Linked DNA regions of Schizosaccharomyces pombe. The protein of the gene in region 1 binds, or shares a complex with, the protein of each later gene. Each region holds a gene or a part of one and is shown in the gene's direction. Other genes may lie near its edges.

Region 1 (3,682 bases):
AAGATTTGAACTCCAATGCATCTCGGTCTCCGATAGCACCGTTGACGGAAGATCAATTAAGTGCCAGAGAAGAACTCCCATTGTCCCACTTTTCACACATTGAATGGAACTTGCATCTCCGGTCTAACAAGAGTATTGTGGTCAACAATTTTGTAGGTCAACTTTGCAGTCGTACTCAATGTATGACATGTGGCCGCACATCTACTACTTTTGCTCCCTTCACATCGCTTGCGATACCGATTGACGATGTCTCCCATGTAGTAAGCCTACAAGAATGCTTATTAAAATTTTCAGCTCCTGAACTCTTGCAAGGGCATGATGGATGGCATTGTCCCGTGTGCAAGGTTCAAAGGTCGGCAAAAAAAGTAATTATGATTTCGAAACTACCTGAATATTTGATCATACAAATTCAGAGATTTAAAATATCCGTAATGGGTCGTAAAAAAATTGATACACCACTTGGATTGAGCTTACAGATTCCAAGTAAAATGCTGGTACCACCGAGTTTCCAATCGGGAATTGGTTATATTCCTAGCAATTATAACCTGTTTGCATTTATCTGTCATTATGGCCAGCTCGAAAATGGACATTATATATCTGATGTACTTTTTAATAATGAATGGTGCCATATTGATGACTCAATTGTTCGAACAGTGGGCGGTATTACTGACTTGAGAGAAGATTTCTCCTCTTCCTACATTCTTTTTTATAAACGCTCAAGTCTGTTGGAGGAGTTTGAAGATAAGTGTCCCAAAATGACTTTGAAAAGAAATGTTAAATAAAACAAAATAAAAAAAGGAAAAATGTTTTCAATAAACCTCAAATATAGTTATTGAATAAATGTTCAACTTAGCATTCATAACCGATATGAATACTTACTTAATGCTGATTACCCAACACAAAAGCTACTCTCGTTATGTTGAACAGAATGCAGGAATTGGATACAAAATTTTTTCATCCTAGAATTTTTTTTAAACAAAGATGGTTTTTTTCTTCAAGATTGATCATATTCTTTTAAGGAAGATTTTGTTCTTAACTTTCCAGACTTTTTCTTTTTAAACACCACTTTGTTTTCATTTGATTCCTTGCTTTCTAGCGATTTGTTTCCCTCGTTTTCAGCTAACTTAGGTACTTTATCTAAGTTTTTTGGTTTTACCCGAAAATGAAATGAAGATCTTTCTTCTTTTTCGATGATCTCTCTGTTTCTTTTCAAAGAGGTCCCTGGTAGAGACTCATTTTTATTAGTAGTTGTTTCCTTGGTTTCTTCATTTTCTTCTTGCTTTGCTAGCAATGTAGGAATATAGCTGGTATGAGTAGTAGAGATGGTGTCAGTCTCCGTAGAACTTGTAGGAATATCCCAATCATCCAAAGTAGCTTTTTTTTTAGAGGGACGTAATTTTGGATGCTCCTTTTTTGGTTTCTCATACGATGCTAGTTCAGATGACACCGCTGAAGCAGTGGTAGCAGTAGCTGATTTTGGTATAGATAAATTCTTCTCAAGTTCCTGCCTTAAAAGGTTGGAACGATGAATATCATCCATTACTTTTTTAATAGCATCCTGATGTTTATAAGTTTGCTCATGGCTCCGTCGCGCAAATGGTGTATCTTTCACGAACTGTACTGTTAGTAGGATTCTATTAATTTCACCACTTTAGAAATAATTTTTGGATGTTATAGAAAAAACTTACTATTTGGCAATATTTACAATAATATTTTGGAATACTTTTCCAGTAATCAGCCATTCTGAATATTAATAGGAGATACGCACTAAATACATACTTAAAACTTATTTACCCATATATTTTTCTCAGGAAACCCACCTTTTAGCATACCGTTATTTAGTAATGACAACAGTTTCAATTACTTTTGACTTGTTGTCGTCTATGCAACCAAGAAAATGGCTGAAAAATCAGAATTTTGTTGGTGAAATTACCTCTCTCAGTTTTGACGACAGTGGAGAGTTGTGCTTGGCGTCGTGTACTGATGATACTTTACAACTGTATAACTGCATTTCTGGAAAGTAAGTACTTCTTAAATTCACTTTTGAAACCTGTTTGGCTAACTGACCATGAACTTCTAGATTTGTGAAATCACTTGCAAGCAAAAAGTACGGAGCACATTTAGGTCGGTTTACTCATCATTCAAATTCATTAATACATGCTTCCACAAAGGAAGACAATACCGTTCGTTATTTAGACGTTGTGACAAATCGGTATCTTCGATATTTTCCTGGCCATAAGCAAACAGTGACTTCAATCGATGTATCACCAGCAGATGAAACTTTTTTAAGCGCTTCTTTAGATAATACTATTCGCCTTTGGGACCTTCGGTCTCCAAATTGCCAGGTATGAGTATAACAATTACTGATAATCAAACTAACTAGGAATACGTAGGGTTTGCTCAATGTTAGTTCACCCGTTGTTGCAGCTTTTGATGCTACAGGACTAATCTTTGCCTCAGTTAGTGAAAGAAAATACAAAATTTCTCTTTATAACATTAAATCATTTGATGCTCGCCCATTTCAAGACATTCCTTTAACATTCCTGCCCCCTCATGTCCGCATTGCAAATGTGGAATTCAGTACTGATGGTAAATATCTATTGCTAACAACTGGAAATGATTTTCATTACGTTATAGACGCTTATAGTGGAAGTGAATTATTAAGAGTTCCTTCAAAGGTTAGCACAAAAACCCAAGATGGAAATTTGACTTATTATGCTTCAGCTTGCATGTCTCCAGATAGTAAATTTCTTTTTACTTCATATGATAATGAGCATCTTTGCATGTATCAACTACCAGAACTGAAACAAACTGTTAACTCGGATCACATTGTTAATTCATTCACCGAAATGGGCCTAGCATCAACTACTCCGACCAGCAATAGTCATTCAACAGAGAACCCGCTAGCTATCATTCCTTCTTCAACATCTAAAAACCTTTTACCAGAAACACCTTCTATTGTTCGCTTTAATCCACGCTTCTCTCAATTAGTTACAGCACATTCTGGAGTAATTTTCTGGACGTAAAATTGTTTTTGTGTCTTAACAAACCACGAAAAAATGAATATTATATTATACTATTATTAAAAACAATTTCATAAAAAAACTTCATAACTATTATTTAAAAGGGGGAAAAAATGAGTCCTCTATTTTAAATGACACCTGAATGACTTAGAAGACTTAAACAAAATAAAAAAAGGTAAAGTAATATTAGTTTTGAATCGAGATTAGGTTCGTAATAAACGCTTCACAAAGTGTCCAAATTTTGAGTTTCTAAATCCATGATGGGAATTCCCCAAATCATAATCAACACACAAGACAATAGTCATACCTGCCATGTTGGTAGCAATTATTATATCAATCGGATGTACAGGAGGTGTTCCATATGATCTGTGACTATGAGGTTTTACTAGATTGTATCCTTCTGCAATTAAACTGCGATCATGTTCCGACTCTTTAGCTTCGACAGCAGTCCTTGCTGGTGCAATGATGGTCGAAGTCAGTCTCTCACTACAAACCTTGAATGTTTCCGTGGGCAAATGGAGAATGACAGAGCGTTTTCTTGATGCATTGATGAGTACCTTGTTGGGAATATGCCATAAAACTACTTCATTAGTATCACTTCCACTAATGATATAACTGTTGTCTTCACTTAAACGAGAAAGTACTCTGCCATTAACACG
Region 2 (3,699 bases), on another chromosome or scaffold:
CGGAACAAAATGAAATAACTAAATGGCTCTGTAGGTGTTGTGTTAACAAATAACACATATTATAAAAAGATTGTATTCTATAGTATCTATTATTTCTAACGGCATAGTAATACGTTGTATTTTAAAAAAAGCCTTGATAAAAATAAACCAATCCAAATGCAATAAAGAGTATTCCTCCAATGAACATGACTTTATGAACCTTTATCTTGGTAGAAATATATTTTCCAGAAATAACTGCCAAAGCTGTACAGCAAGCATGACCAACATTAGCCCCCATGAATACACCGTAAACATTATCACTAGCAGCCATTGCAATAGTAGCGATTTGGGAGCGATCTCCCCATTCACTAACAAAGGTAAGTGCAAACGCCTTTATAAATAAAGGAGAAAACAGGGTAGCCATAACGTTCCGTCCCTTTGATTTTAATTGCGACATTAAAGTATGTCCAGAGCGAGACCTGTGACCAGTGTAGTGGGAAGGTGCTGCCCCTTCCTCCAACAATTGGTCGATGGGGCCATTAGCAGCTATTTCGTTGCGGACGTTCTGAAATTCGTCAGACATGGATTCTTTAGAATCCATAACTTCCTTCGCTTCCATAAGCATTTTAATTCCAAAAATCACAAAAAGGACACCTCCCAGAATGTCCGTTAACTTTCTAGGAAAAAGTAATGGAGCGGCGTGCCCAAGAAGTACTCCTAATAATGTCATGATGAATAGAGCTGAGTATGACCCAGCAAAAACAGTTAATCGAGAGTTTTCAAAGGCCAAAAGAGCAGCTACGATGAAAGTCTTGTCTCCTATTTCACAACCAAAAATCATAGATATAGAGAAGATCAAACTCCTAAGAAAGTCACGGTTTGTTGGGTGCACTTCCTCTGGATGTTTGATAGCTGACACGTCTGCCATACCTTCGCCAACGATTTTTTTCTAAAGTAGTGTTAGATTCAATGCAAAAAAACTTTGATTTCAATTATCTATCAAAACATTACTTCTTCCAAAAGGAAAAGTGAATATCATTGATTTAAGAATGTAGAAAAACGATTATAGCAAAATCGTAAATTACTGAGACAAAGTAAATTCTGCATCACCTGCATATTTGCACGGAATTTATTTCGTCTTTGTACAACAATAAACTAATCACGATTGTATTGCACAAGAACCAATGAGACGTGTTCTAAAGGACAAGGAAAAAACTTACAGCCACGACGGTTGACAGCAAAACCGCTATAATCGCCCATTTTATTGGATTTTTCATGACAATATTAAAAGACTGGGATGCAAATAGTAATTGCAATGTTTGTTGAGCGTAGATGCAAAGTTTGGTGTAGCTGAAATTTTAAAGGTAGTTAACAAATTCTTCGACGTATTGTGCGCACACCAAAAAAAAGCAGTTATAATTAAATGAATTCAGAAAAACAACCACATTTTGAAAATAGGCCTGTGTCTTTGGTTAGTATCGGTAAAACATTTTCATTTATTTTCTGGCCTTCACGTGGCATATGCCAAAAACCTCTAATTTGTTTTAAAACAGGTTTTTAACTCTTATCTTTCGAAAAGTTGTTATAGTTACCACTTGACTGTATATTAATTGATCATTAGTGGGTATAATACAAGCATTAGGACTTGCAAATGCTCATAATTTTATGCCTTTTTTTTACTTTCATGTATTACTTGTTGTAGCAATAGGAACCAATGCCAATCCTTTTAATTGTAAGTGTAATACGCGAAACCAAACAGAAGTTTGATAATTTTTTAGATGGGAAACTCACATTGCACTACCTACATAACGCAAGTTCAACCATAAACACATAAGAAAATTCACTAGCCAAACGGTCAAAGTAAAGCCTTAACAACAGAACATCGCATTTAAGTTAAACCTCGTTAGTACGTGTTTCTTACAGGGTGATTGTACGAAGTCCCTTCTGCGAGATATTACTTCAAGAACTTTTACATTGAGCAATCAAGACACGATCAATTAATTCAAGTTAAATGTGTCTTGTAAAATAACTCGAGTTTTATTAATAAGGTAGTATAAATATGGCCGAATAATCTGTAATCAAATCTTTACATTTCGTGAAAATTCTTTTCTTTACCACATTATTTTACCGTGTAGTCAATTCATAAACAAAAGGCATGGATAGGGATGTAACACTTAATGTTGATGAACTTGTATCTAAATTTAAAAAAGAAGGACATTTTGATCGCCTTCGAAAACAAATTCTAGAAACAGTAAATGAAAAGGTAGGGTCATCGATAGTTTCCTCAAAAATTAAACTATCACTATTTTTTTTAACTATCATAATGATACCAATGTCACTCACTCTTTTGCCATACTAACATCGCCTCAGGAATCAGGGCCTTTATTAGATCGGCTGAAAAAAATCATTGATGAAGAAATGGTGAAAGATCGCACACTCAAAAGTAAAGACCAGTTTAGGGCTGCTCCTTTAATTGCAGGTGCCGTAGATAGGTAAGCTTACGACTTAATAATGGTTTTTTTTCTTTTCTTTTTGGAAACTCAGTCTAACCCATAAGATCTTCATTGTATGAAGATAGCATGGAACACATCCGAAGCAATGTTTTATCTGATCAAGATTTGAGGGAAGTTATTTATAATTCTCTTGAACAAATAGGGATTGAACAAATAGAGCATGAGGATGAAGAAAAATTGCTGAATAGTAAAACCATGGATGGGCGCAAATGAAGATAATTAGCTACTTAAAAGTTTGAAAAAGTTTTGTTATTGATTACTTCTAAATTGCATATACTGAACATACTTATTACAATTAAGAATTGTACTCTCGGGAATTTTACCAGCAATCACATTAGGTTGCATAAGAAGTGAATTAAAAGTTATAACATTTAATGATGCTGAAGGAGATAATAAATGGACTCTCAGAAGAACAACCACAATTCTTTCAGATTCGGATCTCTATTACTGCTGATTATTAGTACATTCATTTGTGATGCCAATGTTTCAAAAAAAATAAAAAAATGTGAGAGTATGTAGAGATCAGGTGTGAAGGACGACAGAAGTTAAGATTATATATCCATTTAGGATAATTATATTAATGCAGTAATGAATAAAAGAGACCAAGTAGCACTTGGTTTTCTCATCAATAAAATATTTAATCATTATGAGTGTTGATAAATAAAGTTAGGGAGGCATGCTTGTTTAATTCAATCATCAGGCAACAGCAAATGTCAAAGAGCCTGTGTTCCCATAATCTTCTGCCATGCTCATAAAGACTAAATATAATATGATCATTATGTTACGATGGTCATTAAAGGAAGAACTTGAGGACGTAAAAGACAATTAGTAACCATACTGAAAATAACAGTTTACTCAGATGCATCGTCTTTTACCGTTGCATTTCGTAGAAGGTCATTTAGACTTTCGTCACCTTCTTCAACAGGAGCCTCCAAATCATGATATTTTCTACATATAAAGCAACTGAAGTATGGGTGACTTTCGTTTAGGGTTGGGCGTATGCATTTATAGTGATAAGAGTGAGAACAAGGTGCAACGAACAATGCTTGACAAGGTAAAACAGGCATAAGACATATACAACATTCCGGAGGACCCGATTCAGAAGATCCGCATAACACCAGTTCTTGCATTCTTTTGAATTCGTTAAGGTTGTAAGGACTAAGCTTAATTTTCCAAGAGTTGTTTAGCTCAACTCGGGCACGAACAC

Evidence for each region.
Region 2: swd2 (region 1) and shg1 share a complex: the UniProt entries of both Schizosaccharomyces pombe proteins name them as parts of the set1 complex.

What each region holds. Positions count from the first base shown.
Region 1 is NC_003423.3:1,781,319-1,785,000, reverse strand, and holds swd2 (Set1C complex subunit Swd2.1), read left to right. Parts: upstream 1-1,781; 5' UTR 1,782-1,844; coding exon 1,845-2,020; intron 2,021-2,080; coding exon 2,081-2,345; intron 2,346-2,393; coding exon 2,394-3,026; 3' UTR 3,027-3,056; downstream 3,057-3,682. Other genes in the region: ubiquitin hydrolase Ubp4, read left to right, coding at 1-782; wbp4 (WW domain-binding protein 4), read right to left, coding at 995-1,615, 1,689-1,742; SPOM_SPBC18H10.05 (WD repeat-containing protein), read right to left, coding at 3,227-3,682. UniProt on the Schizosaccharomyces pombe protein: The Set1 complex specifically methylates 'Lys-4' of histone H3.
Region 2 is NC_003424.3:2,355,227-2,358,925, forward strand, and holds shg1 (Set1C complex subunit Shg1), read left to right. Parts: upstream 1-2,092; 5' UTR 2,093-2,134; coding exon 2,135-2,242; exon of another isoform or gene 2,243-2,349; coding exon 2,350-2,471; exon of another isoform or gene 2,472-2,536; coding exon 2,537-2,705; 3' UTR 2,706-3,162; downstream 3,163-3,699. Other genes in the region: gdt2 (GDT1-like protein), read right to left, coding at 122-928, 1,200-1,256; mitotic spindle checkpoint ubiquitin ligase Dma1, read right to left, coding at 3,344-3,699. UniProt on the Schizosaccharomyces pombe protein: The Set1 complex specifically methylates 'Lys-4' of histone H3.